4 linked regions of the Drosophila melanogaster genome follow. The protein of the gene in region 2 interacts with the protein of the main gene of each other region in a pairwise test. Each region holds a gene or a part of one and is shown on either strand. Other genes may lie near its edges.

What was found.
Region 1: the proteins of CG16826 (region 2) and CG8490 interact in a two-hybrid assay, tested with the Drosophila melanogaster proteins (one large-scale study listed by BioGRID).
Region 3: the proteins of CG16826 (region 2) and Trf4-1 interact in a two-hybrid assay, tested with the Drosophila melanogaster proteins (one large-scale study listed by BioGRID).
Region 4: the proteins of CG16826 (region 2) and Rnf146 interact in a two-hybrid assay, tested with the Drosophila melanogaster proteins (one large-scale study listed by BioGRID).

What each region holds. Positions count from the first base shown.
Region 1 is NT_033778.4:12,332,514-12,338,314, reverse strand, and holds CG8490 (uncharacterized protein), read right to left. Parts: upstream 3,000-5,801; 5' UTR 2,939-2,999; intron 2,884-2,938; exon of another isoform or gene 2,875-2,883; 5' UTR 2,830-2,874; coding exon 2,194-2,829; 3' UTR 2,110-2,193; downstream 1-2,109. Other genes in the region: CG34021 (uncharacterized protein), read right to left, coding at 774-977, 1,047-1,328; garz (gartenzwerg), read right to left, coding at 4,819-5,520, 5,589-5,801.
Region 2 is NT_033779.5:13,344,307-13,350,592, forward strand, and holds CG16826 (uncharacterized protein), read left to right. Parts: upstream 1-3,466; 5' UTR 3,467-3,490; coding exon 3,491-4,516; 3' UTR 4,517-4,714; downstream 4,715-6,286.
Region 3 is NC_004354.4:8,557,884-8,565,414, forward strand, and holds the start of Trf4-1 (topoisomerase related function 4-1), read left to right. Parts: upstream 1-3,011; 5' UTR 3,012-3,376; intron 3,377-3,811; exon of another isoform or gene 3,812-3,878; intron 3,879-5,269; 5' UTR 5,270-5,489; coding exon 5,490-6,492; intron 6,493-6,524; exon of another isoform or gene 6,525-6,600; coding exon 6,601-7,281; exon of another isoform or gene 7,282-7,295; intron 7,296-7,493; coding exon 7,494-7,531. Other genes in the region: IntS4 (integrator 4), read right to left, coding at 1-815; CG12112 (uncharacterized protein), read right to left, coding at 1,338-1,480, 1,543-1,696, 1,770-1,975, 2,038-2,140. UniProt on the Drosophila melanogaster protein: Involved in a post-transcriptional quality control mechanism limiting inappropriate expression of genetic information. Polyadenylation is required for the degradative activity of the exosome on several of its nuclear RNA substrates.
Region 4 is NT_037436.4:19,634,876-19,645,697, forward strand, and holds Rnf146 (ring finger protein 146), read right to left. Parts: upstream 7,942-10,822; 5' UTR 7,793-7,941; coding exon 7,477-7,792; intron 7,150-7,476; coding exon 7,019-7,149; intron 6,344-7,018; coding exon 6,190-6,343; intron 6,110-6,189; coding exon of another isoform or gene 5,613-6,109; exon of another isoform or gene 5,484-5,612; intron 5,444-5,483; coding exon 4,698-5,443; 3' UTR 3,671-4,697; coding exon of another isoform or gene 3,576-3,670; 3' UTR 2,332-3,575; downstream 1-2,331.

The sequences.
Region 1 (5,801 bases), on a different chromosome or scaffold from region 2:
TTCCTTTTGCTTTTGCTTTCCCTTTCGTTTGCCGGCCGGTACTGTTGTTATTGTTGTGGTTTCAAAGCAATCAGAAATCAGTCATGCCAAGCGCATTTTAAGAACACTATAATCGTATTTTAAACCAAAATAAACATATCGAAATTAACTAATCTTCGTACAAAGCTGTTTTGTTATTGTCTTTGACAACGAATGGGCGTAGCAAAACAAAATAGAGGACACTGAGGAGGTGAAGGTGGTGGTCAGATCCCCACATATATATTTTTTACTCACCACGAAAAATGGCTACTCCTCCTCCTCGAAGTCGCGACCTCGCTTTTTGTCCGTTCTTTGGACACTCCTCGCGTATTACCATTTATTTGGCTGTTTGGGAGCAAATAACTTGAATTTACCAACTGATATTTTCACTAATATAAAAAGTTACACAACACTCTGAATAGTTTTTCCGCTTTTCCGCTCAAATAATAAGTCGCCGTACTGTATATCTTACTTTCTGGCTTGGGCTGCCAGACTGCTCGCTAAATAGGTGGCAGTGCAGACTGTGAAATGCAGTGTTGCCTAATGTGGCAAAGTTATAAAAAGTAATTTAAATATGTATAATTTAATTACAAATATTTTTTATTCCTTTTAAAAAGTTTTTTGAATTTATTAAGTTCACATTTTTAACATTTCTTGCAATCTGATTTTTTTTTTTTTTGAATTTATTAAGTTCACATTTTTAACATTTCTTGCAATCTGAATTTTTTTTTTTTGAATTTATTAAGTTCACATTTTTAACATTTCTTGCAATCTGGCTTATAATTTTCAGGGCAAACTTGCTTTTCGGGTATGTTGAAACTCGCAGTGGTATTAAAATTAGTTTGGCATTTAGTTTCCGAAGAAGTCTCGCTGGATTCTGGAAACGGGGCACATCCTTCGTCAGGATTCCACGTACCCCCTCGCAACTGCTCTTCCAACCACTTAAGTTGCTTGTTTATCTAGAAAATTACAATTCTTTTAAGCGTTTTTTTTTTCATTTATGTAAATATGCAAACAAAAATTATTGCCTTTTCTACCATCTCCTCGTCTCTTTCGCTTCCAAATAAATTGGCTGTAAATTGGTAGATATTCGATGGCTTTGCCTTAACCGCCTCGGCTGTAATGACCCGAATTATGGCTCGGATCTCTGGATGGCGTTGTAGATATGTCCAATCGTCCTTGCGCATATTTCGGGAAATATTTCCAATAGTTTCATAAAATTTTGATACGTTTTCGTTAATGTTTTTAGCATGACTAGTATTTTCCGTGTTTTCGGTTTCCTCAGCGCTTGATGTTTTCGTGACATCCATATTCACTTTGCCAGAAAAATGTATATTTTCAAATTTTAATTATTTTGAAGTATTTCGTTCATTGGTGCTTGTGGACTTAAAACTCAACGAGTTTTCGATAACCAACATTTTGTACAAAATAGCCAATTCCAAGCTTAAAAATAAAAAATAACCCAACTCCGTGACAATGTTTATTTGAACATTGCCGTGACCAGGATTCGAACCTGGGTGTGGTAACCCACAACGTGGGGTCCTAACCACTAGACGATCACGGCTACATTGGATTGCGCCCAGCAATTCCAAGATCCCACCACGTCACCTAATAAAAAAAAATTGCAGATGTAATTAGTAAACACTACCCCAAATCAAATAGAAAATCAAATAATAAGATTAGCAAAAACATGTTTTATCATTTATTTATATATCATTTCAATTTGTTTAATAATTATTTTCATTTTCATCAAAATAATTAGAGTGTAAAAAAATACCCAACTCCGTGACAATGTTTGTTTCAACATTGCCGTGACCAGGATTCGAACCTGGGTTACCACGGCCACAACGTGGGGTCCTAACCACTAGACGATCACGGCTACATCGGGTGATGCGAGGTCTATGCCAAATGACTAATTTTAGCAAAGTGCGCAGAAAATCATAGCAAGTAAGCAAGCAAGTCGTAAATAAATCTGTTTAAGCAAAACGAATTTTAAATTGTCTTGAATAATATTGAAGAGGAATGTTTTTTAATATGTTGCTTCTTACAAATTGTGTATGTATGTATATATATAGATATGTATATTTGGTTGAACCTGAGTGTGTCGGGCTACCAAAGCAGCTCCGAAATCTTTTATTTTATTTAATGTTTATTTACTCCTAAAACATAATAATTCTACGGGTTTTTTGCCTTTTCAACTCCCTTGGTGGGGAATTTCTGGCGGTTACTGGCTGGGGATAAAGCCGAGGAGGCTAAATTGGCATTTCCTCGGTCGCGACGCTGCTTGAGGCGCTCCCGGAACTGATTGCGTAGCGTATCCATGGACGTGTTGAGGCTGAAGTTCATGTCGGGCAGCTGATAGGTGGCCAGCAGGAAGTTGCAGCGAACCCGCTCGTTGGCGATGCGCTTGATGAGCTCCTGCATCTCATCGCTCTGAACCAAACTTCTGATGGCCACGCTCACCTTGTCCTGGGCGACCGTGGCTTTCTGCTCCATCTTGCGTTTCTTAGGTGCCTTGGATCCACCGGCTCCCAGCTCGTCTGCAGCAACCGACTCGAACTGAAGGTCAGCACTTATGCGTCTGGCGCCATGCTGGCTCTTCCTGGACCTGTGGCGTCCACTCTTACTGGATCCATCAGCAGCAGCGCCAGTCGATGTGTTTGCTTGGCCCGAGGTGCATGGATATGCTAAATCAGGGTCAATTTTTTCGAACTTGGCGGTTTTGGCACCGAGCTCGTTGAATGTAATACATTTTCCACCGACACTTCCCTTCGCTTTTGTCTCTCCTCTTTCGCTCGAATCGGATTCCATTCTGATGGCCTTAAAGCTGCTCACCTCCCAATGGTTGTCTTCAAGCTAATGAAACTATTATGACTTTAGTCAACCATTTAACTGACGAGTGTTTCAGTTACAAACTTACCTTAATTCAACATTACCAGGCTGTTTGCTTGGGCTTATTATTCATATCGATAGACCGATTAAACGATAGCAACCAAATAGTGCTGCACAACGAAATAGTTGGCTGGCGTCATCTGGTGCTCGATGTTCGAGACGTATGTTTCATATACTTATTATAATGCAATTATTGTATTATGAGCGAAATTTTATAAGCTTTCGTTTTTATCAACTGATTGCTTTCAGTAATTAATATTAATTACTTTTGTGTGTCGTTCTGCAACACTGTGCCTTAGATTTGGATTCTGGCTGCCCGTGCCCAACACCCTGTTGTAGCCGTGATCGTCTAGTGGTTAGGACCCCACGTTGTGGCCGTGGTAACCCAGGTTCGAATCCTGGTCACGGCAATGTTGAAATAAACATTGTCACGGAGATGGGGTTTCTTTTTAATTTTTTAAAAGGGGTTTCTTTTTAATTTTTTAAAAATGTCTATATATTTTCTATAGTTATAAAAACTTCTCTTATTCAACGATATAGATTTAAATTTAACGCTGCTTATTTATACATAATATATTTTTATGCAAAGGTATACTCTGAAGAAAGCTAAGGATGAATACTAGAATTTTTATGATATTTTGAAGTATTCGTAGGATAGATATGTTACTTAAGAGACATAAATATATTTCTACACGCATGTATCTTAAGTTTTAGTGATAACTCGAATTAGTGTTTCATTGAAAATGTTGTCAAATTTGTATAATTTTACGCATGTGTTAAAAATTGTTGGTAATGTAATGGTAGCTTAAACCAGTAAGTAGCTCGAAAAGTGAGAGGCATTCGGCACGCCCAGTGAAAGGCAGGGCTATTTCTAATTAACCAATAAAGAAAAGAAAGAAAAGAAAACTTGTTTTCTTTTAAAATAAAATTACTTTTGATATACGGTCGGTGTCCAAAATTCTAAAAGAAGTGATAAATAAAATCAGTAATATTGTTATTATCTATGATACTTGTAGAAACTTCGGACATTGAAGATTGAAGTCAAAACTGATTTGTTTCAAAAAAGTAATTTGGCAGCAGTCAAACATCACCCGATGTAGCCGTGATCGTCTAGTGGTTAGGACCCCACGTTGTGGCCGTGGTAACCCAGGTTCGAATCCTGGTCACGGCAATGCTGCAATATGCATTGTCACGGAGTCGGGGTTTTTTTTTATTTTTTAAACCTTTCAACAATTTAAGATTAATTTCAAAAGTGCAGTTTTTTATTTAAACAATATTTTCTAACTTCTGACTTTATTTTACAACTCGCATGAAAGGATCTAGTTGATACTAAGACTTTAGTTAATCAATGATGACCATTAGGTAGCGAGCTGGGATTTGGGAAGCTCCACCCAACAACCCGACGTAGCCGTGATCGTCTAGTGGTTAGGACCCCACGTTGTGGCCGTGGTAACCCAGGTTCGAATCCTGGTCACGGCAATGCTGCAATATGCATTGTCACGGAGTTGGGTGAACAGTCGCCAATTACATTTTTTTGCCCCAAAAAGGCTTTGAGAACTTTTCAATGTATAAAACACCAGCGTTTGATTTGTTTTATAGACTTTTAATTTTGATTATTTACAGTTTGCCTCTTTGCATAACATACAGAAGATATAATTATTTAATTAATATTAATTAAACTATTTGCATTACTAAAGCTTATAGGGGGTTCAGCCGAACTTCGCATCTGTGATTTAGGTTTGTTTTTCTGGATAGCTTAATAAACACACGCCATGGCGGAATGTAGTTCTACTTTAGTTGGGGGGAGGCATAAATAACAAAAACAAATTGACACAATTTTATACGGGGTACAAATTAAGACGGTCAGGTGGTTTGATTGAAATTGAAATGAACTTTCAATGCTCCTCTTCACTGCTGGCCGTAGAGCAGTTCCGATCCGGGCGGTATGCTACTGGGGTCCACATTCACATTAAAGTAGTTGGCTGGCGTGGCAACGGCGGGAAATGCGTTGGCCATTCCTGTAGCCTGCTGTTGTTGCTGCTGCTGCTGCTGATGGAGCTGCTGTTGGGGATGCTGTTGCAACGTAAGGTTGTACGGATTTTGCACATACTCCTGATAGATGTCCGCTGCTGCTGTCCCAGCTCCACTCGTCGCCGCCTGGCTTTCGTAAACGGGCGCAAAGCTGTGCACAATGGATGCCTGCGGCATTTTGGGGAGCGAGGGGTACGCATTTCCGGCCAGCAGATGACTAATTGGCACATTGATGGCAGGGTCGCTGGCTGGAGCCGGCAACTGTTGCTGCTGGGCCTGATACTGTTGATAGTACTGTTGGTAAAGCAGTTGCTGCTGCTGCTGCCCAAACTGTTCCGCAGTTGTCTCCGGCGCCATGGGCACCTCAATGGCGTAGCTATTGTACGTATTGTTGGTGGTTACGATGTTGGTCTGCTGCACTATTGAAGCCGGCTGCTCCGCCTCCTGCGGGCTGTGCGTCGGGGACGTGGTCGTGGCTTGCACGGCAGCAGCAGTTGCCTCATTCACCAAATCCGGCAATAATGTACTTGGTGGTATTGGGTCCGTAACTGCAGGCGGCTGGGGTGGCACAATAATGGGCTGTCCACATGCATGAAAAATATTTGTTTAATTAATAGAAAACTATATTTTATTCTTGTAAAACCTACCTGAGCAAATACAAAGCTGGGCGGCTGTTGCAGTACATCGGCCATGGGTGGCTGCAGTATTATGCTCCGCCTCGGCGACTCGACGGGAGAGCCCAGCAAAGGTGTGGCTGCCGGCGGAGTAGGCGCGCTCACCACTAACTCGTTGGAAACCTGGGTTTGCCTGGGCAAAATGGTCACCGCTGGTAACTGTTGCTGTGGAGCGGCAGCCACAGC
Region 2 (6,286 bases):
GTGCTGGGCCAACTGGGAGACGGTAGATAGAGAGACCAGGAACCACGATGGCACAAGTGGGCGGGAATGCTGGCATATATGCCACCCAGGCCACCACCCGCTTTGCATATATTTCACTGCAAATCCGCAGCGCATTAAAAGAAAATACGTGGCAAAAAAAGAGTGCAGGCTTTATATGTATAAAATAAAATGCACAGCAAAACAATGCAGGCAGCATGGGTGAGCATTTTCGAGTCTGGGGATTGTGCCAATGAAGTAACGACCGCACATACAGATACAATGTTGCCCAGCCCGTAGGTTGGTGGTTTGGATTTGCAGAATGGCAGGATGGCAGGATGGCACTGCGCTAAGTGACTGCTGTTATACATTTAGCCAGGGCTGATGGGATTGTGCCGAGCGATACGGTGGAGCAGATATGGCCAGAGATACGTTTACAGTTGGAGTCGAGAGTGCGCCCGGCCACCTCATATGCTCGCATACTTGTACACTCGCCTCTGAACAACTGTACAAATGTACAAATGTACAAATGTACTCCGGTGGACTACACTGCTGCCACCTGGCGCCTCCACCTGATCCCCAAAGCGTCCAGGAGCGCGACAAGATAAAAGCTGGTGCACTAAATCTGCTGCTATGTGCGCCACGGGACACAGTGGGCAACCTTCTACGGCAGCTCCTATTCTCGCACTGCTTCTTTTGGTCGGGCCACGCTGCGTATGAGCAATGCTATGCGCGTTAAGTATATGTATTTGTTTGTCCTAAAGGATTTAGCCAAACGGCCCTCATCATGGTCGCCTGCATATGCAAAATAATGCGCTCGAAAATTTTCCACTCGTTGCACTCACTTAGAGCAATGGTATTTTAGGAAAATATGCAAGTGCACTCAGTGCTTTTATGTATTTCATTCTGATTTTCATGAAAAGTTATATTTATTGTGCTCTGTAAGTAAAGCAAGTGCACGGAATTGGGAAAATAATATATATTTCCGGACAGTCTGAAGAAAATATTGATATATTTAAACTATAAAAAATACCTGTGGGAAGATTGTTCGGATTATTTTAATCTCATATGTGCAAAAACGAATTAACGAACTTTTATCATCCACTTTTCGCTGAAACTGCAATACATTCTGCAGGCCCCTAAAGCTCGATGGCCATCATTAATGCAGCCATTATTTCCCATATTTTTTATTTTTTATTTATATTTCTCCTTATCGTAGGCAGGCCTGAAAGGGGGGCCAAGTTAATTTCAGAGCACACTTTACGTGCTGCAATTTGGAGCGTTTCAGTTGCATTCGGACCCGGGCCAGCAGCACATTTGGTAAGCAATAAATTGACCCGCCAGCCGACGCCATCATCTACTTTAAAAGCATTTGTTGCCACACCGCCACCACCCAGAACCTGTGGCCGCGCCCCCAATCAGCAGCACTTGGAGCCATCCGCCGCCCTGTGACCTCCTCCAATCCCCTCCAGCAGTTGCCAGAGCGCCGTACTCGAAGCGGCGACGACGCTAAAAAGATACCGGAAATGTTACAGGAAACAAAATGACTTAATGGCCGCGATTGCAACGGCATGGAATCGTTTCAGGCATCCTCCTGATCCTGGTCCTTTTCCATTTTCCTTCATGCTCCTTGGTCCATAGCCTGCTGGCATTCATGGAGGTTGCCGAGGTCAGCAGAAAAGCATAAAGGAAAGGTTATGGCACGGCCATGTGCTGAATGGATACCCTTCTTCAGATCGTCTTTGTTTACAAACATATTTTATATCAATAAGTCATAGTTATTATTTTTAAAAAATAATAAAAAGTTAAGCACTCTTTTAAGTGCTCAAAGAATAGCTATTAAAAAAGGTACTAAGTTTAATAAAATACTTATCACGTGTAAGACAAATATATTCTATTAAGGTCAAGTGATATTTGTGATGTAATCCCACTTACATAAACTTTTTTGAGCTAGCATTTAAGCTCATGCTTCTCGAATTCCCCACATGAATTGCTTTTCTTAAATGGACCAGACTCTCCCACTCCACACCTGATGTCCTCTAAATGGAGCCGATGATGAGCGTGATCCGCCAAAGGCAAGTTACTGCCCATACGACCCGACCCGACCTCTTTCTTTAAACAGGTAATTGCAATTGCGACATCATTATCATATGCTAAACGGAACTGATTGCTATTGAAACGGTTTTGAGGTTTGAATTTCTTTTGAGCTGAAACATATTTCTAATTAAATTAATTAAGCGAAGCGAGAATATGGCAAGTATGCAAGCCAATTAGTGGAAAACGCAAAATTAAATGTCTGTGCATTGAGGAGACTGCAGCGGTGTGGAGTGGATGGGTGTAAAAATAGCTGGGAAAAATGGCAACCAGAAGAGTGCGGGATCGCTCCGCCAACCCATTGTCCTTGTCCATGGAGCACTTTGTTGGCCACTCCGGCTATAATTGCGTTGAGACATGTAAGCTTTTGTTTTGCAGTTAGGCGTGTGGCTGTGCGACAAAGTTAATGACAGCATAATTAAACAAAACTAACAGCAGACTAATAAAATGTTCATAGTGCATGTCGCTCAAGGCCTCGGCACATCACCACGCCATCACAACCCCATCACCTCGCCACCCACAATGCCAGCTACTTTCCATATCTCCAAATGTATATACATTTATACAATACATATACCTGGCGAGCATTTCATGTCGTTGTGTGTCAACGTTTGTCAAGCGACAATTAAAGTCATAATAAAGGCATGCTAAAGACAATTATTATGTGCACGTCCTGCCACGCCCCCCAAAAAGAACCACCCAGTTCGTTCGGTTAGTTATGCATAAAGTTCGCCACAAAAGGGTTTAACCTGAGCGTAAACATGCGCTCCTTTGTCTCGCAGGCATATAAATTTCAAAATTAAAGCAGAGTTTAACCTTTGTCCTTGTGCAAATGGCAGGGTGGGTCTATAACCACCTGCCTGCGATTGTGTGAGACCCGCATAAAGAGCCTTCGGTTTTAATGCACGCGAAATTGACTTATTTGATTTATTTTCATAGTTTAAGCCAAGGGCTTTTATTATAAGCATGCTTTAAGTGAGTGGATTTGAGAGGGGATTTTAAGAAAATGCAAGGCAAAAGTTATATTTATATTCGCGTTGTTAATTATTTATTGAGTACTGTATTTTGCGGTGATTAAAAAAATAACGTTGTGTTTGAATAAAGAAAATCATTGTCCTCATAACACTGAGAATGCATAAAATAATTTTTTTTTTAATTGCCCCCAAGTACAGTAAAACAAATGTGCACAGAGCTTTCTTCGAAAAGTTATCCAACCAGCATGCATTCCACTATTCGCTCATTATGGAAAGCGGCTGATTAAATATTAACTAATTTAATAAAATGCCGGCCTGCTTCAATATTGAAATAGTCAGCGAATGTATTTGCCCAAGCGCACGTAGCCGAGATATATAAAAGGTGGTCCAGGGTGCAGAATGATTAGGCTATCCGTTGACCGACGATGCATTCGACCAAGTCAGCCGTTCTCCTGCTCGCCCTGGCCATCAGCGCCAGCTGCGTTGTTGCCACACCGCATCCGGAATTCTTGGATGAAATCTTCGGCTCCATAAACCAAACTGGCCAGCACATCATCAGTGGATTCGTGAATGCCACCAGGAATGGCACGGCCATTGCTGGTGAGTTCCTGGACAGCATAAGGAACTCCTCCGCCCAGTACACGCACGAAACCCTGGAGTTTGCCCAAAAAATCGCAGATGCAGTTCATAGAGCCGCCACTGAGTCAATCGTCGACTTTTCCGCGACTCTGAGGGCGCAGATCGACGCACTGCATCAGGGGATTGATCGGGTGAGAAACATCCTGCAGCGAGAGGCACTTAAGGATGCTCTCGCCAGACTGCAGACCGTCAATACCGTCGTAAATGATCTGGAAGTGGCCGTGAATAACCTCAATGATCGGATAGACGAGAAGAAACAAGAGTATTTCGCCATAATCCAGAAGAAGTGGTACCAATGGTCTGACGCCCAATTGGAACGAGTGGATAAGCTGACGAATGGAGTTGGCAACGAGGAAGCCGAGGAGATCATAAATGAGCTACTCTCCCGGTATTCCGGATATCTGCACAGCTGCCTGGAGGAGTTGCAAGCGCAGCAAGCCACGTTTGAGCAAAATGTCCAAGAGGCCATCGAAAAGTACCACAATGCCACCAACGAACTGACGGACCAAGTCGAGCTCTGCGTCCAGTTCAACCTCAGCTTCCTGTCCTGCCGCAATGGCATCAATGAGGCACTACGCGGACTCGACTCGGCTCCCGCGGAGCTGCTCACCCTGAAGCTTCAAGGCATCCGACTACTGGCCATCGGCCTGAATGCCAGCGGATGTGTGGGCCAGACCCTGGCCGAGCACGAGCTGGAGAAGCCCAGCGTGGAGCGCAAGCTGGATGAGATCATTGCGGAGTACCAGGAGCAGCAGACTTCCACCGATGACGACTCTAGCTCTAATAATGAAACGACCACCATAAGTTCGTAGGATTTCGGGGAGTCATCCAGTAATGAATATGACAACTCCAGCAATGACGACGAATCCTCATGGAAATATTTACAAGAACGTATAGTGTATTTTAGGTGTCGGGTAGAAGCAGCAAAATAAATTACTCTAATGCAACTAAATTAGAAATTGTTTTCCTTCATCGTTTATCAATGATGTTTCTTAATAAACTATGCCAAGCTTCTCAAAATATTTCTTAACTTTGAACAGTACTTTAAAAATTACTCTACCGCAAACGTATTACCCAGATACCGATTAACTTCATCAATGGTGCAGCACATTTTTTGCGGATGCTAAAGCAATTATTTTAAAATTGTCATATTCATTTATTTAGGTAAGGCACGAAAGTCGTGGCAATTTAAAGACACGAGGCTTTAGTAGATTAATTATTTAAATGCATTCGATTCTGCCTTTATATGTAAATTAAATAAGGGTGCTAAATAATATAGAAAAAGGGAAAAAGAAACTAACTTGCACTCTTAGCACCTCCCCTACTAACAAATGATGCAAATGAACTGAGTGAATTCCCCTTAAAGGACTTCCCCAGCTGCTATAAATATAAATAGTTGTATAACAACAGTAACGAAAGGTATAACACTGAATTAACAATCTCAACTGCTATAAAAATGAACTTTTGTGCTTTTGTATAACAGTCAATTGAAGAGGACACGAAGCGCGTAGTACAGCGTTTATAAAGTTTTATGCTGTTATATTTTTCAATGAAAATGTGTTATTTCATATCGAATATAACAGATTTGCTATAATATTCAAATTATGGCTCCGTTCAACTAGCATACATCTGATTCTCATTTATAGCTCATACGCCATGTATACATAACTAACGTACAGCTGGGTAAATTACATTTATAGCTCATACGCCCTGTATAACACGTGTACGATTTCCCCTTTATGACTTTGCGAGGGGGGCACTAAATGAACCACTCGAGAATAAATATTTGCTGAAATAAAACGCAGGCTTTCTATCTTAGTTTGCTTACTTGCAATTTTATTGACTTCATGTGTTTGAATAGATCTCTTTAGTATCTGAATTTGCCTCTTATTACCTAAAGACCACTAAATCTGTTTTTCTGATTTCTGTTTATTATTTACTTAATGATTATACTTTTTGTGCGCTAAGCCAAACAAAAAGTTTACAGATTTCGAAGCATTGGAAATTCGATTCAGTTTCGTGATAATACTAAACTTATCATTTTGCGTTTCTGCCTCATGCACAAGCCAAAAGACAAGGACCTGTAAATATGTCCCAAGCTTTTTCAGCCCACTAACTCATAGACTGAGCGCTTACCTCGGAGGAGTTTCGGCCTTACTAATTGATAATGTTGCACTAACAGTTCGCTGGCAAAATATCGATACATATTCATTGTTTTGCTGCATGCAACGCCTTACTTTCATTCTTGTATACCTTATTGCTTACTCTAAAACACGAAACAATGGCTTAGATTACATATGAATTTCGCATTAGGAATTTACTGAATTTTGTTTAGGAATAATTTTGCATTAGGACTACCAAAATCGGGAAAGCATATTTTCCAAATTAAAGAGAACAACCAAACAGTGATTAGTGATTATAATAATTTCGTAGTTGCTTCTATCTAGCATTGTTTAAGTATTTCTTAAGTCTCTCATCCCTTGTTTCATCGGAAAATATATCAATGAAATATTTGTTTCAAAATTTATATAACTGAAAATATTTCGTAGGACTCAAACATTATGTAGAGGAATTCAAAATAT
Region 3 (7,531 bases), on a different chromosome or scaffold from region 2:
GCCTGGGCACGAACGCTCGAGTCCTGCGAGTCGATGTAGAAGGCTAACTTCCATACGTAATGACGCTCACCCTCCATTTTGGTGGCAAAACGACCGATTACCAGCATGGCGTTCTTCTGCGTATGCGCCGAACCGGAGCGCAGCTGCTCCTTGGCTAGGTGGGCCACCTGGGTTTTGTACGATATGGGCAACATGTGCTTCCTGCGCTCCCCGATTCGAAACAGGCACATCATGCCCTGGGCGAGCACCTTTTGGGACACCTCCTTCCTCAACAAGAAGATAAAGTAGTCGATGATCATGGTAAGCGCCTGCTCGGTGGCACACTCGCAACCCAATCCGGACAGCAGCTCGAGCAGCTTCACCCGGATGGAGGTGTCGCTATCGCGTTCCTGCAGCTGATACAGTTGGAAGATCTTGCTGGCCACCTCCTTAAGCTCGCCCATTTCCACGTCCTCATAGGATATCTCATCGGTTATCTTGACCAAGAGCTCCAGCAGTTCCCTGCTATTCGCGGCCGTCATTGGGGGAGCTCCAGTCGCCGCAGCCGGCGGATTTCCGATGACACCTGTTGACGGGGCTCCCGTCGAAGCAACTGGTGTCCCAGTGGGCAGGACCAACGCACCGGCGGGCAGGTTGCCCACATAGGCGTCCAATTGGTTGAGCGCCGTCAGCTTGCGCTCCACATTGCCCACTTTTCCGGATTTCCCGCCCTTGGCATCAGCGGCCAGCGTTTGCAGACGCAGCTTCTTCACCGGCGGCGACCCGTCCACCGTTTCCACGTAGGTGCCTACGCGCTTCTTAATGGCCAGCGCCATGGTTTCCTTTTCCTTTGCGCGATTCAACCAATGCAGACTAGAGTTGCACTCTTCCACCTGGTTTAGGTAAACCGCAAATTAGAGATGGCACACCACTGATGCCAACCACCCGCCACTAGCGATGGCATCGTGACCGCGCAAGAGGTTCTTGCTGGTGGATAACCCATAACTAAATAAATTGCTTTCACAAGAGTGATAATGCTAATATCACCAGGCATTTAATAATTATATTATTTTAAAAAAATGTGTCATTTAGTAATCATATAAAGAAAACGAGGCATATTTTTTGGACATTTCACTTTGAAGGCGTGAAACATCGATAGTATAGTGAAAAATCGATGTTTTCTTTTCGTCTTTTGTTTTGCTCTCGCTCTTCTCCATGAAGTGATAACTTCTCAACAAAGTGATGATGATCCATCAACCACTATTTGGGTATTCATCCTCAATTCGGATTGATTCGCCCGTAAATCATTACTTATATTTAAATCCTTGTTTCTACTATGTCATCTCACATGGGCACAGTTATGATTTCTCCACGCTCAAAACGGACAAGGGGTCATCATCTACCTTGCCCTTCTTTTTGGCTGCGCAATTCTTAACGCATCTCATGGCTTTGAATAAGACTTTTTCCGAGGGTAGCGTCGGTTCCACCTGACCGATGGCGTCTGTAGTTGGGGATAATTATTGAATGGATCACTAAAAGTTGGATGTCGAGCACTAAACTTACTCATAAGCGAACGAAACAGATGTTCGTGATCTTTTAGTCTTTTCTTTTTCTGATTCCCATCAATATTGTAGTTCAGAAGGATGTCCTCGGAGAAAATGAGTCTTATGGTGCGGCTTAATCTTCCCTGGCGCAGGAATTTCCGCATGGAATTCGTCTGATCAGGGATCATATAAGTACAACTATATAATATTCTATTGATGGAAAAGCATGAGGAAGGAGAAACTTACATAGATCCCCCTGGAGTCCTGGCTTATCTTGTGATTCACTTCGACCAGATCCTCCTCATACATAATTGGAAAATCATCGTCCGGATTTCCCTTCGCCTTCGGCTTGGTCGTTTTCATCGACTGCTTAACGAATTCCGTAAGTGTCTTAACCGCCCTCGTCAAGTTTTCGATTTCTGCGCGCTGCGACAGGACTTGGGAATTGAGTTCTAAGTGGGTTAGGTAATGTAATATGATCCGGTGTTATAAGATATGTATGTCACAAACATACCATCTATCTTTGTTAGCAGCATGGCATTGGCTGCGATATGACTATTCTCGGTGGCGAGGCAAAGTCTCTTGATTTCAGGCATTGCTTCGTTAATTTTTAGCATTAAAGTGAATACATATGTATATTTAGTTTATGAATTGAGGAAAGTCCCTAATGGAAGCGATTCGCTTCGCTACACAGTTAAGCTCCAAATGGAATTCCTCGCTGTTTCATCATTGCCTTCGCTAGGCGACGAATGGGAAAGTAAGGGCACGGGCAAAAACTCCCTCTTGCTCATCACATATGAGTAACTGGTGAATCAGTGATGACGACGTCTGATTAGCGGCGGAACTGTACAGTAGTACAGAGAACATGGTGAAAGCCAGAATATCGCATGACAACCAATCGCATAAGCCACAGGATAAATAATACTAATTGTTTATAATAATCACAATGTTTTTAACGAATTTAGTTGGTGATGCGTCCTGTCAGTTGAGTAGGTGGGAATAGCATGGACTTTCCCCAAATAACAAATGCTAAGTTGGGTTTTTTTAAAATTGATTTAATACATTTTTTTTATGTTACAGTTAAATTTGAAACTATATTTAACAAGCAATTTGGATGTCATCGATATTTTGTAATAGGACCATTCACTTAGCGGAGTCATCAACCTTGGCGAATCTAGCGAGCACATCCACCTCTCGCTTATCAGGTCTATCGATAACATCGCTCATCAATCGATTCGTGAACCAGCTCTATCGCGAAACGGTCGCGTGTTCGCACGCAAATTGCAATATAAATCCACAGAAATTGACAGGGAACGTTGCTAAAGGGCGAAAAACAATCGTGCCGCGATTGAGGCCTGCGATCTGCACAGGAAATGCACAATTGCGAAGCGCAATTTGATAAATTCGGTAATGTTCGATTCTCGAAAGAACCAGTCGTGTGCGTCTGTATGTGCTTCAAATGTCACTCTGTGTGCGGGTGTGTGGGGAGTGCATAAAAGGCATAGAGGCAGCAAGGAGTGAAAGAGAGAGCTCCATCGGCAGCGCAACGAAAGTGAGCGAGAAGCAGAAATTGTTAGTGCTTATAAGGATATGTGAGAAGGGAGAGTGAGACAGTAAGAAAGAACGGAAGAAGCAGCAGCGACGCCGACCGACAACAACTGTAATTTTCCATTAATTTTTGGGCGGGTTTTGTGCTGCACAATAATACAACTGGCATAATATAACTTGGCTTATTTTTTATAACCAACATGTGTATTTTGTTCACGTTTTGCTGCGTGTGTAGGTGTGAGTATATGTATGTGTGATAAACTTGAAATACAACGCAATCGCAACGAGAACCAAAACTTGTCAAGGTAAAACGGCTAAAAAAAAAGAAGAAACGAATTGTGTGTGAAAAATTCCAACTGAATTACGCGAGAAATCATGTGAAGAGCAGTTCGATACGCATGTGTGTGCGTGTGATAGAATACGAGGATGAGAGCGGGCGTGCGTTTGGAGTAGTCTGCTTAATTGATTTTCGCTTAATTACTGCAGCGGTTGCATAAATTAAATGTTTACATTTGCCCCGGACAGTGCTGTAAAGAGAGAGAGCCCTTCGAAGCCAGGTGGCAACACCGAGGCCCGTCTATCGATATCCACTGCAATTAATTACTCCGACTAATTTCAGCCTCTGTATGTTTTTTGCCGGTTAAAACAATAAATCGCTCTCTCTTTCTGCCTTTCTTCAATATCACTTCGCCCCGCTCTCTCACTTGCTCTCCTTGGGTCGTTAGCCAACACTGGCGAACATTAAGAAAGTGTTAATTTGCCTAAAATGTACAAGTACATGTGCGCGATGGCCTGCTGTAAATGTGTGTGGGTGTACGGGAGTTTTCCTCTGTCAAATGCAACTAAGTTTTTTTTTACCGAAAATTCAGCCAGCAAATGAAAATCGTATCGGGTAAAATATGCATTAGGTGTAGGTGTGTGCGCATTTAGCGGTTTCTCTGCCCATCTTTCTTCTCCCTTTTTTCTTATTGTATTATATTTTTTTTGCATAATCGAAGCCGCCTTTCGGTACATGTGCATGTGTGCTGTCCCGCTCCCACTCCCACCCCCATACTACGGCCACCTGTACGCCCTTGCACACTCACACACAAACGCACACACCCAACAGAGTCACACGCACGCTGCACAAAACTAGAGTAGCTATCAGTGTATTGGTGCGAGATATAATATCACTTGGGAAGTCATTTATTTGCGGGTCTCGGAGTCTCGTGAGCTGTTTTTCCTTCTGTTTTTTTTTTTCGAATTGCTTGTTGTTTTTATTGCATTTTGATTTGCTTTTCGTATGTGAAAAACCTTTTTGTTGTGGCCCATTTTTGTTTTTTTTTTTTCTAGCGCGTGTGTGTATGTGTGATTTTTCGCGCTCTGAAAAACAATTTTCGACTGGCGCCTTTAAACGCTTCAGCTGCAATTGGTTTGCAAAAAGGAGTGAATAAGAGCGCTCGCTTGAAAGTGGTGGGAGGGAGGGGATGTGTGAGAGAGCGGGGCATTTCTATTTGTAGAAAAAGAGCGCATAATTTGTAATAGTTTGCCATTTACGCTTTCCATTTTGTGTAAAATGCATGCAAACCCCTTTTAAAGAGCAAAAATAACAAGAGCAGCACCAACAACTACTGTTACTATTGTTTCCTTTCCTTCAATCTCAACCCCATTCCTTTGTTTATTTATCTCCCCGAGTTAACCTAAAACCTGTACATCAATAACAGTATTTTGATATCAGTATTTATTTGATTTATCAAATTACTTGAAGTTGACTTAGGATTATTATAAACAATGAGTCCCAAACTGGTTAAAGCCTCGAAATACAACTGCTGTAGATTATATCGAAATGTATATGGTTGTACTTAGTGAACAAATGGAGGGTATTTGTTCTTCCAGAACTTTCCTAATATAAGCCAATCTCTCTCTCTTCGCAAAACTGCGAACATTGGCATATTTATTGAGTGATAAGTTAATAATATTAATCAAATTAGGTGTTCTGCCTTGTTTCACATTAATTGTTAACAAATAAGATTGACAAGTCTACCTACTATACCAGAATATACCGAAATTAAAATGGCAATGACTTTAGTGTAATATTGTGATCATAACTGAGAATTCTATTGTTTTGAACCGTTAAACGTATGTAGAGGTAGTAGAATAGGATACGCATAACTCCTACTCCGGTAACTAATTAACATTTTTCGTGACACTCTTTACAGCACTTGAATGCTGACAGCATTCAAAGAGGTTTAGTCCCGGCAGCGACTTTAATTAATTTTTCCCTGTGGAGCACAAAGATCACATCGGATCTATATAGAGTCACGTCTATATATTCAGACCACCAGGACGCAGAGGATAGAGGTGAAAGGACGAAGCGAAGGAGAGACGCGCGCCCCCCTCGTTTCCCGCCCAGCCAACAGCCGTGTGAACCCGTCTTGAATGGATCCATTTGTTGGCTGGTTTCAGAAGGAACAGGAGGGACCATCGCTGTGCACATGGTTAAAGATTTGGGAGACGAATGCCCAAGAGATGGGCGCATTGCTTAATCAACAGCTACAGCAGGCGACGACGATCAACGGGAGCACGAGCAGCAGCAGCAGCAGCAGCAATAGTGGTAACAACAACAACAACAACAACAATAACATCATCAATAACACTATCACCAACACGACCAATAACACTGGTAACAATTCATCGGCCAAACCCTACTTATCGCGACCCTACAGCTCGCTAAATCGGGTGCTCAATTTCCGAGCGGATTCCCTGGAGATCCTGCAGCAGCAACAACAACAGCAGCAGCTCAACGGGACCACTCAGCGCAACAGCACCAACATCAATACCACAAGCGGCGGCAGCACTAGCTCGTCGGCAGATTCCACCACGAATCGGGACAATAACTCACCCGCCAATAGCAGTTCAACCAACGGACCCGGAGCAGGAACGGGAACGTCAACAGGAGCAGGAGGTACCGGTACAAATAGTCCGGCGACGACAGCGTCAAGCACAGCTGCGACCACGACTGGTCCAGCCACTAGTATGAGCGACACCAGCAACAACCCGCCACAATCAACGACCACGCCCGCCAGCCGCACGAACAGCATCTACTACAATCCATCGCGGAAGAAACGACCGGAGAACAAGGCTGGCGGAGCCCACTACTATATGAACAACCATATGGAGATGATCGCCAAGTACAAGGGCGAACCGTGGCGCAAGCCGGACTATCCGTATGGCGAGGGCGTTATCGGGCTGCACGAGGAGATCGAGCATTTCTATCAGTACGTCCTGCCCACGCCCTGCGAACACGCCATCCGCAACGAGGTGGTCAAGCGTATCGAGGCCGTTGTCCATTCCATCTGGCCACAGGCAGTAGTCGAGATCTTTGGCTCCTTTCGCACTGGCCTCTTTTTGCCCACCTCCGACATAGATCTCGTTGTGTTAGGTGAGTGAAGGGACGGTACTAGCTTTTTAAGTGGCCCCCACATGCATTGACTTTTTATTTATGCATTGGCTTTATTATCTTATCCTAATCTCTTCAATTTACTTTCAGGTTTGTGGGAGAAGCTGCCGCTGAGAACGCTGGAGTTCGAGCTAGTGAGCCGTGGTATCGCCGAGGCTTGTACGGTGCGTGTTCTGGACAAGGCATCAGTGCCCATCATCAAGCTGACGGACCGGGAAACGCAAGTGAAGGTAGACATATCGTTCAACATGCAGAGTGGTGTTCAGTCGGCGGAGCTGATTAAGAAGTTTAAGCGCGACTATCCAGTGCTGGAGAAGCTAGTGCTTGTGCTGAAGCAGTTCTTACTACTTCGCGATCTCAACGAGGTGTTCACGGGCGGCATCTCCTCCTACTCGCTGATCCTTATGTGCATCAGCTTCCTGCAGATGCATCCGCGCGGTATCTACCACGATACAGCCAATCTGGGGGTGCTTCTCCTCGAGTTCTTCGAACTTTATGGACGTCGCTTCAACTACATGAAGATCGGCATCTCCATAAAGAACGGTGGCCGCTACATGCCCAAGGATGAGCTGCAGCGTGACATGGTCGATGGCCATCGACCCTCGCTCCTGTGCATCGAGGATCCGCTGACGCCAGGCAATGATATCGGTCGAAGCAGCTACGGCGTCTTCCAGGTGCAACAGGCATTCAAGTGCGCCTACCGCGTGCTCGCCCTTGCCGTCAGTCCGCTCAACCTTCTCGGCATCGATCCGCGCGTCAACTCGATACTGGGTAAGTGATAGTCACGCTCTATTAGTTAATTAAACGAAAAAATACAAATATTTTAATGCAATCCAACAGTTCACAGTACAAAATTGCACATAGCTAAGCAATGTTTACTGCTGGACACGTTGATAACAACAATTTTGTTATATGCGCGTATATACACTAGTTTCGTGGAATCGATGTGGATTTGTAATGGTCTCCTTTGTTCGCTAATGCAGGTCGAATCATTCACATCACCGACGACGTGATCGATTAT
Region 4 (10,822 bases), on a different chromosome or scaffold from region 2:
AAAAGTAGATATCAAAAAATGTATTTATATATTGTATCCCATTTTTGTAAGTTAGATGCTTTTCCAATTATTTTTGAGATATAGTACAGAATCTTTTTCTGTTAAAAAAAAAATATAATTCGCCAAATAATATTACTTTATGATTATTTTTTTTCTCATTTGAATAATATCTTTTGCTTTTCAAAAGATAAACATATATTAGAAGAAAAGGCACTTGATATCATTTTTTCCTGTGTACAACTCCACTTCTTGTTGTTCTTTTTTTTTTTAATTTAACTTGGCCAAAGCTAGAACATAACAAAAACAACAAACATAAATGTTCCCACACACACACCAGAGTACATTTCTCGCTATTGCTGTCTCGTTCACACCCACCCAGTAGGGCCCTCCCCTCTTGCTCGCACCAACGACGGAAGCCTTACAGCGCAGCTTTGTGCTGTTGCTGCTTCTTCTTCTTCCTCTGCTGCTGCCTTTTGCTCGCTCGTTCGCTCTTTTGGCCAAGAAAATCAATATAAAAATTCTTGTATTTGCACATTTTTCACACACTTTGCTCACTTTTCCAGCAATTTTCCACTGCGAATCGTAGTGATTGCATTGATTCGTACTTTATTCAGCCATTGGCGAAGAACTTTTATTTGATTTCAGCTTGAAATGGAACAATTAAAGACTGGTTTTCTGCTCTTCTTGGAGTTCCGCTGCGAAACGCGTTTATTCCGACCAACCGTCCGCACCAAAGGTAGATACAAATCGACTAAAAAGCAAAAACTGGCTGCTGGCTCTGCTTTGGCTTTGGCCGAAACCGAGTTCCAATCCGCTCTCTAGCGCTCTCTCTTGCGGATTTCCTCCACCAAAACCAGTTTGGAGCGCAGGTTGTGTTCACTGCGCAAGTGTGCGGGAGAACGCGACTGCGCGGGATGGCCAACCACAAACAGACATCAACTGCCAAGGCACTGGGTCGTTGTTGTTGCTGTCGCCTCTCCGATTATCCCCGTTTTTCTTTTGCTCACCACACTCTACTTGATAGTGCCAATGAAACTGGATCTGGCTTAAAAGTTTAATAAAGCTCTCGTCAGCGACGTGCACGATCGTGTTCAGTGCCTAAAAGCGCTCATGGCAGCTGCTTCTGAGCTTTTAGCAAAATAATGCTTAAAAAGATAATGAAGTCAAAAATAAATAAATTAAATAATTCAAATCAATGAAATTAGATGTACACATTTGTGTGTCGTTGAATATCTAAAACCTCGCTTTTACCACACTCTTTTTCATTTCTATTTTTATTTTCTCTTTCGAATATTAAGTACTAAATTTAAGAATACTATTAGCAACTTTTGGAAACTTTGATCTAAAATTTTGAAAGAACATCTGAAAGTAGAAAAATTTATTATTAGACAGTTTTTTATACTAAATGTGGGTATTAATTTTATTTAAAAGTCAGCTTCTTAATAAATGAAATAAATAACTAGATATGTATGTATGTATATCTATTTAAGGAAAGTCAAAAACTTAGTGATACTCTTAAAAAGAATGTATGTATGTATTTTGATTTTGTTTTATCAATATATGTTATAAAAGCATGAGCTAAGTTACTTAAAGTATGATCTTAATACTTTTTCGCTTTATACACAAACAAACATACATACATATAAAAATTAAACTTTAAATTGTTCTTAAATGCAATTCGCTTGCGTAAACAACCTATCAGCTTATCAGTCTGTACGTCATAAGCTGGGTATGTAGTTAAACTCGGCACGTCATCAAAGAATTGCTATACAAGAGCAGAGCTGTGAAAACGGTGTCTCCGGATTTGTGTCGAATCCCATACCCCTGCTCCTCCGCTTTCGCACAACAGGTAGAGCACGAAAATGAAAATAACATAGTGCAGCAGGTAGCATAATTTCTACATAAACAAAGATGACTCATACCCACAGAGGACTGATCTCTTTGGAGAACATGTTAGTGGGTGGGGGCTTTTCTACATCGTGGAAAATACTTAGCGAATTCAGCGATCAATTGTATATTTACATAGTTAGAATTTCCATAGCATATATTCAGCGATCAATTGTATATTTACATACTTAGAATTTCCATAGCATATAATATTCATAATAAATGTCTCTACTATGAATTGGAAAAGCATTATTCTATACACGAAATATTTCGAAATTAACAACTTATTATTATGTTACGTACATATGTATAAAAATATTACCTTTATCACCCATGATAACAGCATAACGCCATAAGTATATAAGATCTTTTTGTCGCGGTGTATCCTTACCAATCACACAATCCACTTTTCCCTTCTTAGAGCCACCTCCCCCCTTCCACGTTATCAACAAATACCTTTTCTTGTATGTTCTGACCAATAAATTGTTATGCTGCCTGCGTGCGGCTCAGGCGTTTTCTTTTGGTCCATTGCGCATGAGTCATAGGGTTTCACGCATTTGAGGGACACCGAGGGCCAGTATCTCCCAGGGTTCCAGTTCCATGTCCAGGGTGCAGGTTCCATGCCCGTCAATCAGTGCCACTTGCGAGGGGGAGGGGGTATATGATCTCAACACAAGAATTGCCTTTAACAAGTCTAAGTTAAGGGTAGTTGAGGATCATTGAGATAAGGATCTTGTTGGTATTGTTGTGAGAACAATAATAGTGTATCAATGGAAGATTGGAATATCTCTTTCTTTTGTGCTTCAAAATAATGAATCATTTTGTTTAATATCTATTTGTTAGGAAAGTTATTTTTTTCACTTTGCCTTTTTTAAAAAAGGAATCCAATATGGTCAATTGGTTATAACACACTTTCTTTTTAAAGCTGCCATCATGGAAAACCTTTTAAATATGTTCCTCAATGTACGCAGTTCTGATCTAGAAATTTAATAAAGAACTGAGTTTCTTGAAATAAAAAATGTAAATATTTATTACTTCCATTCGCAGACAAGCGAGCATTAAAATAATATTTCACAAAGGTTTTGTGGTTTTTTTTATTGCCCAACTTAAATACATGTCCTAGGAGCTATTCTTACAAATGTGATCTTGCACAGAAGCCAGATCTCTAATCGACATTTATCGGATTCAGCAATATCTATTACTTAACATCTTGTATAAACTAAGTTGTAAATGCTTAATTCATTAATTAAATGTAATTATATTAGACGACAGAAAATGCTACGTGCTGTTTATTAGAGTTGCCTTATCAGTGCTGTCAAAAATACCGGAGCGAGTGCTGTTCAATAAATGTTTCTTGGCACATTTGGTTTTGATTTAATTGTTGAAAAGCTAAATGATTATTAAGTACGAATCGAATTGTTTAGAAACTGCCACCATAGGATAGGAAAACCATATCGAAAAGGCTCTGTATTCCAGATATGCAATGCAAATGATTGTAATTAAGACCATTTCATTCATTGTCAGTTATGGAATAGCAAATGTTATCAAAATCCAGTAAAATGCGCAATGGAAAATGCCAGAAAGTATTATGAGGTTGACAATGAGTTGCGGTGAAATCAATTTGAGGTTTAATTTTAAAACTGCTGTTGATATTACCAGGAGGGGCTTTTCGAAGTCGGGAGTCGGGTTCAGTAGAGCTTTAGGTATACCGTAGATATTAGGGAAGCAACGAATACGCACTTCGCTGTTAGAAGTAATGGCGGAGTACATATCGAAAACGAATCTATAAATAGTAGTCACAAAATTGAGATTATTAAATCGGGCGTATATCGTATCCGTAGCACATAGTTGTAGTATACAACATTAGGTCTGTCTAACAATTTTCCTTTAAATCTATTATTTAAAGCAACTTAGAGTATACAAAATATCAATATATTCAACTGTCACAGAAATGTTTTTGTTTAACGCACTTCACGGCGACTTAATAATTAATACTGCATCTGATTCCCCTGATGACAGTGCGCTTCGAAAACAGCTTGCATTAATTTAAATCTAAAAACTGTGTCAGAACATAGATACTGTGGAAAGTAAGTCAAATTAAACGATTCCGATTTAAGAAACGCACTGAATATCAATTATGTGAGTGGGAACTTCCTGCTAATTGAACTCACATGTCTAGTTAATCCCAATTCATAAATATTGTCTTTTTCACACTACTCTTTCTTGGTGGAGGAGCTTATATTTACTTTTGCCAGCTTGCAAATGAGACCATAGGGAGGGTTAACTTTCCGAATTCTTGTAGAACTCTTGATTTTGTAATTATTATGTACAGGTTAATTCAGAGAAATCCTATTCGGAGGTCTTACAGAGATTTCTTAGAGCATTACAGGCCACACAAATGGATTCAACCAATGCCACTGCTGTCCTTACCATTTCCTACTAAGAATACCATTTTTTTGCTTTAATTGGGTTAAGTTTGTTTGGGGAAAATTGAATATCGTATTAAATAGATTATTTATGTTTCTGCTGTAACGTCTATGTTTCAATATCTGATTTTATGTTTTAAGGAATATGTTTGTTTACCCTGTAGACATTCTTTTCTATTTTTTCTATTTTTCCTGTTCGACGCCCAACGCTCTGAGCCTATGGTTATATATGTTAGTTGATATATTCTCAGGTACGCGCTGCATTTCTCTAGTTAACATTCCCCTTCCGTATATCGAAATCTGCTTAAAGGAACATTTGATATTTTCTTTAAATGTATCGATTAGGCGAGCAACAATATAAGCTTTCTGGTAAGTAGATTATTTCTAAAATCTCTGGGGATTATCGTTGGACTGTGGCTGCTCGCCCGCCTCCAGCTGCTCCCGTTCCCGCAGCTCATGCTCCTGATCCTGGTCGTTGTTCTCCTCATCGCTGGAGTCAACATAGTTGCGCATGGCCAGCGCCTGGAAGTCGTTCAAGGCCTGCTCGAAGAGATCAATGGTGTGCTGGTTGTGGGCAATCACCTGTTGGGTGTTCCTCAGGTCACGCGTGATCAGATCCTGCATGGAACTTGAGGCAGGCGAGGAGGCAGGCGAGCGCCCTGCATCGTTTGAATTTGTGGAGTTGGATTGCTCACCGCTGCTGCTGAGATCATCGTTGAGATTGCTAGCCGTCAGTCCCCGAGTTAGTTCATCTGCATGAGCCAGCGTTGAGCCTATTATGTCGCTAGCGATTCTAATGGCCGCATCTGTGGCTGCTATGGTGGATATGAAACTGGAGGCAGCTGCTGCCACGGTGGTTGGATTGGCTGTGTTGGTTGGCCTGCTGAAGACGGTGTCGCTGGTCACCTGGTTGCCTTCGATCCGCAGACCGGCCACCCCCTTTTTGGGTATGGTGGCTAGGTCTCGCTTAACCCTCCGGCAGCGAGTGGGCTCATTCTGGCGCTGCTGGACTAGCTGCTCCAAGTCCACAATGTAGACGTAGCCGGCTACCAAAATTGTACAGGATTTGTCGCCCTTCTTAAAGGCATCTTCGATGTCCTGACTAGTGCGGTCATCGTACTGCCACCAACCTATAGTTAAACATTTTGACAAGAAAGAAAAATTCGGAATGGAATGGAATCGGTCCAATTCTTTTCGACGATTTGGTCATTTAATTACAGTTTGTTATTACGGAAATGGATGTGCGGAATGGGTAAGGAGTTAGGTGTTGTCATTAATTATTAAAGTGTTCTTGTATTTTTAGTTCTGGCTCAGTCCAGCAACTCCTCTCATTCCGCCAGAAACGTCATCCGTGCTCTTGCAGCGCATTATATTGCGGCTCTTTTCTGGAGTCAAGCGGAGATACTGTAAATTCTGCAAAAAGTCGATGATGTACATACGCCCGCAGATCTGAATGGGCAGTGTGCATGGATGCGGCCTAATGATGTTCAGCTCATCGGGGTCTAAGCTCATAATATCGTCCAATGATAGGGCTGGCGAGTCCCGACCATTGTTTTCGGAAGAGGCTGGAGCGCCCTGACCAGATGAACGAATAATGGTTGGGTATATAACAATTTCTGAATCGGCATTGTAGAAAATAATATTTTCGTCACACAGACAATAGTGATTGATAGGGTTTGGACAGTCCCGATCAAATAAAGGAGCAAGCTCAGGGTTATCTGCCTTGAATATCTCAAAGCCAGCATAGGCGATCTCGATGTCTGCATTGGTCCGAGAATCGTACGCCCACCAGCCCCCTAGATGGGTTTAGTGCGTGAAGGATTTGGGGTTTATGGGAATGAGGGACGGCCGGCACCAAAAGCTTAATTATACTCACCGTTTCTTCCCTCGTAATACCACTGGAAGCCGTCCTCGGTCGCGCGAGTGGTGCAGATGTCCTCAATGCCATTCACCAGCTGGGGATGGTCCAGGAACTCGGCGGGAATCTCGCGACGGCACATAGCACAACGGCGGTTCTTATAAGCAACACCCTGGAAAGCGTAAAATGACCAATGAGAAATTAAAATTTGATTCGACATCGCTATGTGTTGAAAAGCAATTGTAATTTCCTAACACATAAAACTTAACAAGAAGCGAAAATAATACATTTCAGAAAAGCATCTTATCATTAGCGTAAAAACGCAAAAATACGATCATACCAACCTAAGACCTTTACCCCACATTAAGTACACTGGAATAAAATATGAGGTCTTTTACCTCAACCAAAAAATAACAACTTGTGTTAAACGTTATAAGCATAGATGAAGTTTACAAAACTAAGGAAGTTGGAATCGCCTCTCTAAACCAACACTTTCCCACGACCAAACATGTTTCTGAACAGGAAAATGCACTCGAGTGCTAATTGGAGTGGTAGTCTTAGGCTAAAACTGGTTGAAATTGGCAGGAGATTGAGACCAATTGACAAGTCGTCAGCCGGAAGCCAATCTAATGCCATAATTTCTGGTCAGCCGTGTTCGGTTGGCATGCTAATCAATCAGTGAAACCAGCTGTCGCACCAAAGGGTTAAGAACAGCCTTGAACTTGGCTACGTGCTGTGGGTGATTTTGCTGATCGGGAATAATATTCAAGAAAAGCGAGTTTGAATGTGAATTGAATGACTAAGTGGCCACGAAAGGCTTCCGCTTTCGGCTTTCTGGGCTACCTACCTTCACGCACAAAAAGCAGAAGATGTGGCCACAGGGGAGACGAGCTGGGTGGATGCAGGTTTGCAAACAGATGGGACACTCCAAGGCAGCGGCCGCTGCAGAGGGGGAATCTTCGCCAGAAACGGCTGCCGCTAGAAATTGAGTTAATTGAAATAAGTTAAATCAAATAGAATAAGGATTAAGGGATATATGAATAATAACGATGCAAAAGTATAACTCTTGTGCTCTCAATAATATTATAGAATATTATTGTGCTAGTGAGTGCAAAATAATCTGTCATAATTCATAATTCCTTCTAGTATTGCTTTGAAATGCTTTTAGGAAGTCCTTCAAATTTGATTTCGTACATATGTATATGTACATATGCGTGTGTATGCGCTCTAGGAATAGTGCAAGTGTATCCTAAAGCTTTATAAAAGCAAAGGGAACTTCTTGTGGCGAAAGGCAACTTTGCTTACCTGCATCCACACCGGTGGCTAACGCTCCTTCGTCAGGCGAAGAAGCAAGTGAATCGGTATCCGAAGCAGCAGCTCCAGATGCGGATCCAACCGCCGGATCCTCGCCACTTCCGCCTCCTGAGTGGGCTGCAGCTGCCGCCGCCGCAGCAGCAGCAGCAGAAGTGGAGGGCGAGACGCAAAGATCGATGACTGGTGCGGTGGGACGCAGAGCTGCAACGAATTGCACATCCGTATCCTCGTCGTCGTCCAGCGCTATTACATCGCTGGTGTTGTTGTTGCTAGCTGCAATCTGCTCTGTGGAGCGCTGTTGCGACATGGTCGGATTGGATCGATTTCGTCAACAGCGGGGAAATCGAGCTGTTGTCGTCGACGTTGAGTTTTAAATTTTCACAAACAAACTTGAAACAAAAAATTGTTGCTGCCTGAGTATGACCAGCTCGGGCTGACTTTGAATTGCTAATGTCATCGACAAAAATACTACATTCGTTTCGGTATGACCGTTGACTGTATTTTCAGTGCTGCTAAGTTCTGAAATGGCGCCAATGAATTTATTTAAATATTATTTTCAGTCTTTGAAAAGTAGAGTCATTTATAGTTGCAAAATTGAAAACTTGTAATTATTTAAAAAAAAAGCTTTTGGTTATAGGATAATAAACTTATTTATTCCATTTTTAACGGTCAATAAAAGACCAACATTTAATAAAGATTATCCTAAGATAAAAGTATTTATAAAAAGTAAATTTTTTAAAATTTATTAAGCAGTTTATTATTTTATACATTTAACAAAGTACTAGAGAATGCCTTAAATCGAACTAACTTATATTCGGTCGAAAATATTTCTAAATTAATTGGCGCTGCTTTATTACCTGCAGCCGCCGCTTTAATAATGCTATATTAAATTCACAAAAACCAATTAAAATTATGCGCTTCATTACACGAAACACCTCTCGCAGCGAACTGCCATAATATTTATGTATGTATGTATGTATATCCCACCTTCATTGAGAATTTAACTTCATAAAAATTGACAGGCCTTCGGCCAGCGTTTTTGACCAGCGAAGGCATCACGCGCTTTTTAATATGCAGCCGGCGTGCGACAGGCCAAAAAAAGTGACACACAACAACAGGCAGTTGCAGTTGTCCTGCACAGGACCTTCGCACTCATTACATAAAAATCAATTTTTGGTTTATTTCTGCACTCGCCCCGCCCCACCACGCAATTGCATGTCATTTTTTGCCAATTACACCCACACCCGCACACTCGCGGCCAATTGCCTAATTGCGCGACGGCCAAACGCGTTGAAGTCAACTGGCGACGAGTTTTGTAAATTACTCTCGTTCTGCCAGCTTCGATCCTGCGACTCTGCGACTGCGAATGTGATGTCCTGCCGGGCTGTTTCATGCACGTGTCCCTTTGGGCGTTTTAAAAATGTGTTGCCCATCCTGGGATGCCACTCATTCGACGTGATTTGCCTTGGGGAATGTGTATTTACAGAAAGACAGCGAAAAAAGTATCTATAGTATCCAGAATTTAGACCACAAGTTTACCTGGTATTAACTCATATGCGAGTATTAAAGCCAATATAAATTACTTAATATTTAAACCATATTCCTTTGACACTAATACATTAATTAGTTGCTAGTTGTAACACAAAAGTATTCTATTATATTATTTAAACTATTAGCATCAGATTAACATGCAGTTTTACTTTAATTATGGTAATAGGAATATATATATATATATATATATATTTATTTTAATTAAATTTACGCACATCGACTCGAATCCAGCATACCCATCACTATATCATTCGAAGTGCACACACAGCAACTACTTAATATGCACGGCGAGTCCTTGAACTCTCGCCACTCAACCCTTTATCCTGTGTGCTCGTTTCGGCACTTGGTTTTTTGTCATAATTGTTCTATGTTGTGCACAATTGAATTTTTATTTGCCAGCAAACGATCGAGAAACAGAAGAAGAAATTTAAATGATGATTGCCGTGGCTCATTGTTTCATCGCTCTGTTGGTCCCAAAAATGTAAATAACCATAAAAAGTAACCCGCAGAAATAAAGGAGAAGAAAACCTCAAATCTTAATGTAATTACAACGGTGGACGCCTCAAGATTATTAACACAAAAGAGGGTCGTCATAAGCATAAAAATATTGCCCCCCCTCCCCAGCATGGCAGATTTCGTCAGCCTGTTTTTTTTTTTGTTACCATAAAAAAGGGCGAATAGAAGGAAATTTCCTGGCTGCCGCTGTTTGCACCCTCGTTTTGTAATAAGCTACTTTTGCATCTGGCCTATTGCTCTTTATTTTATCATTTGCTGGCTTGTTCCTTGCTCCCCCTTAAACATTTTATTATACCCATTTTTTGGGTCCTAATCCCATCTTAATAAACGAAAATTGTCTGTTGACACATGTGAATCGAGGCTTGCAGGCAGTGCAGTCTAAGCTCTAATAAATTTACGATCGAATTTCGCACGAGTTTCCTATTTAGATGCTGATTTTTGTGGCAAGTATTAGCGCAATCAAAATCCTGTGAAGGGGGTCCTTAAGGTTAACGGATTAAGCGAGTCAGCGAACATAGAGCTATGTTACATATAGGATTTTACAAAACTTGTTATGACATAAATAAATTTCATGGAGATCGAAGTTGGATTGTCAATCCATTTTGATCTCTGAGAATGCTAAAATGCATGAAGGATAATGTCTTTTCTATTTGATGTTATCATTCCTTTTATTTAAATCTAAGTTAATTTTTAATTAATATTTTTGTATGTTACGTTTTTACATAAAATAGTTAAATTATAGTATAGTTTGTAAAACTATACAAATTTGTAAAGCTGCTAAGCGTTTTTAACAACAAAAATAATATATGACAGTGCCAAGGCAACACAATGAGCTAGTTTCAATTGAATTTTTGAGCAAGTTAAAAGATTGATATTTTCTTAAAAGTTTTGAGAAGAGAGCAATCATCCCAAAATTAGAGGTATATATATCAATGCCTACGAGGATAAGTGAACTACATTCGAAACTTACCTTCCCTGCGGCACTGAATCCCACTCCTTTCACTTTGCCCGCCAGTTGACTGCTGGTTTTTAATTAAAATATAAAAACGAGGGGAACGTGCCGCGGTCGTTAGGCAATAAACTTGGACACCGCGCATCCTGGCAAGGACAATTACCAGGCGGAAAATGTCGCAACATTTTCGCTCCTTATCGCGGCGTTTTGGTACTTTAGGCCAAGGAATTCCGAGCCGCGGCATAAAGGAAAGCGAATTAACGACATTGTAATGCTTATCTGAGAGAAAAGGTCCTTTTGCCGAGTGCACGGCCATAT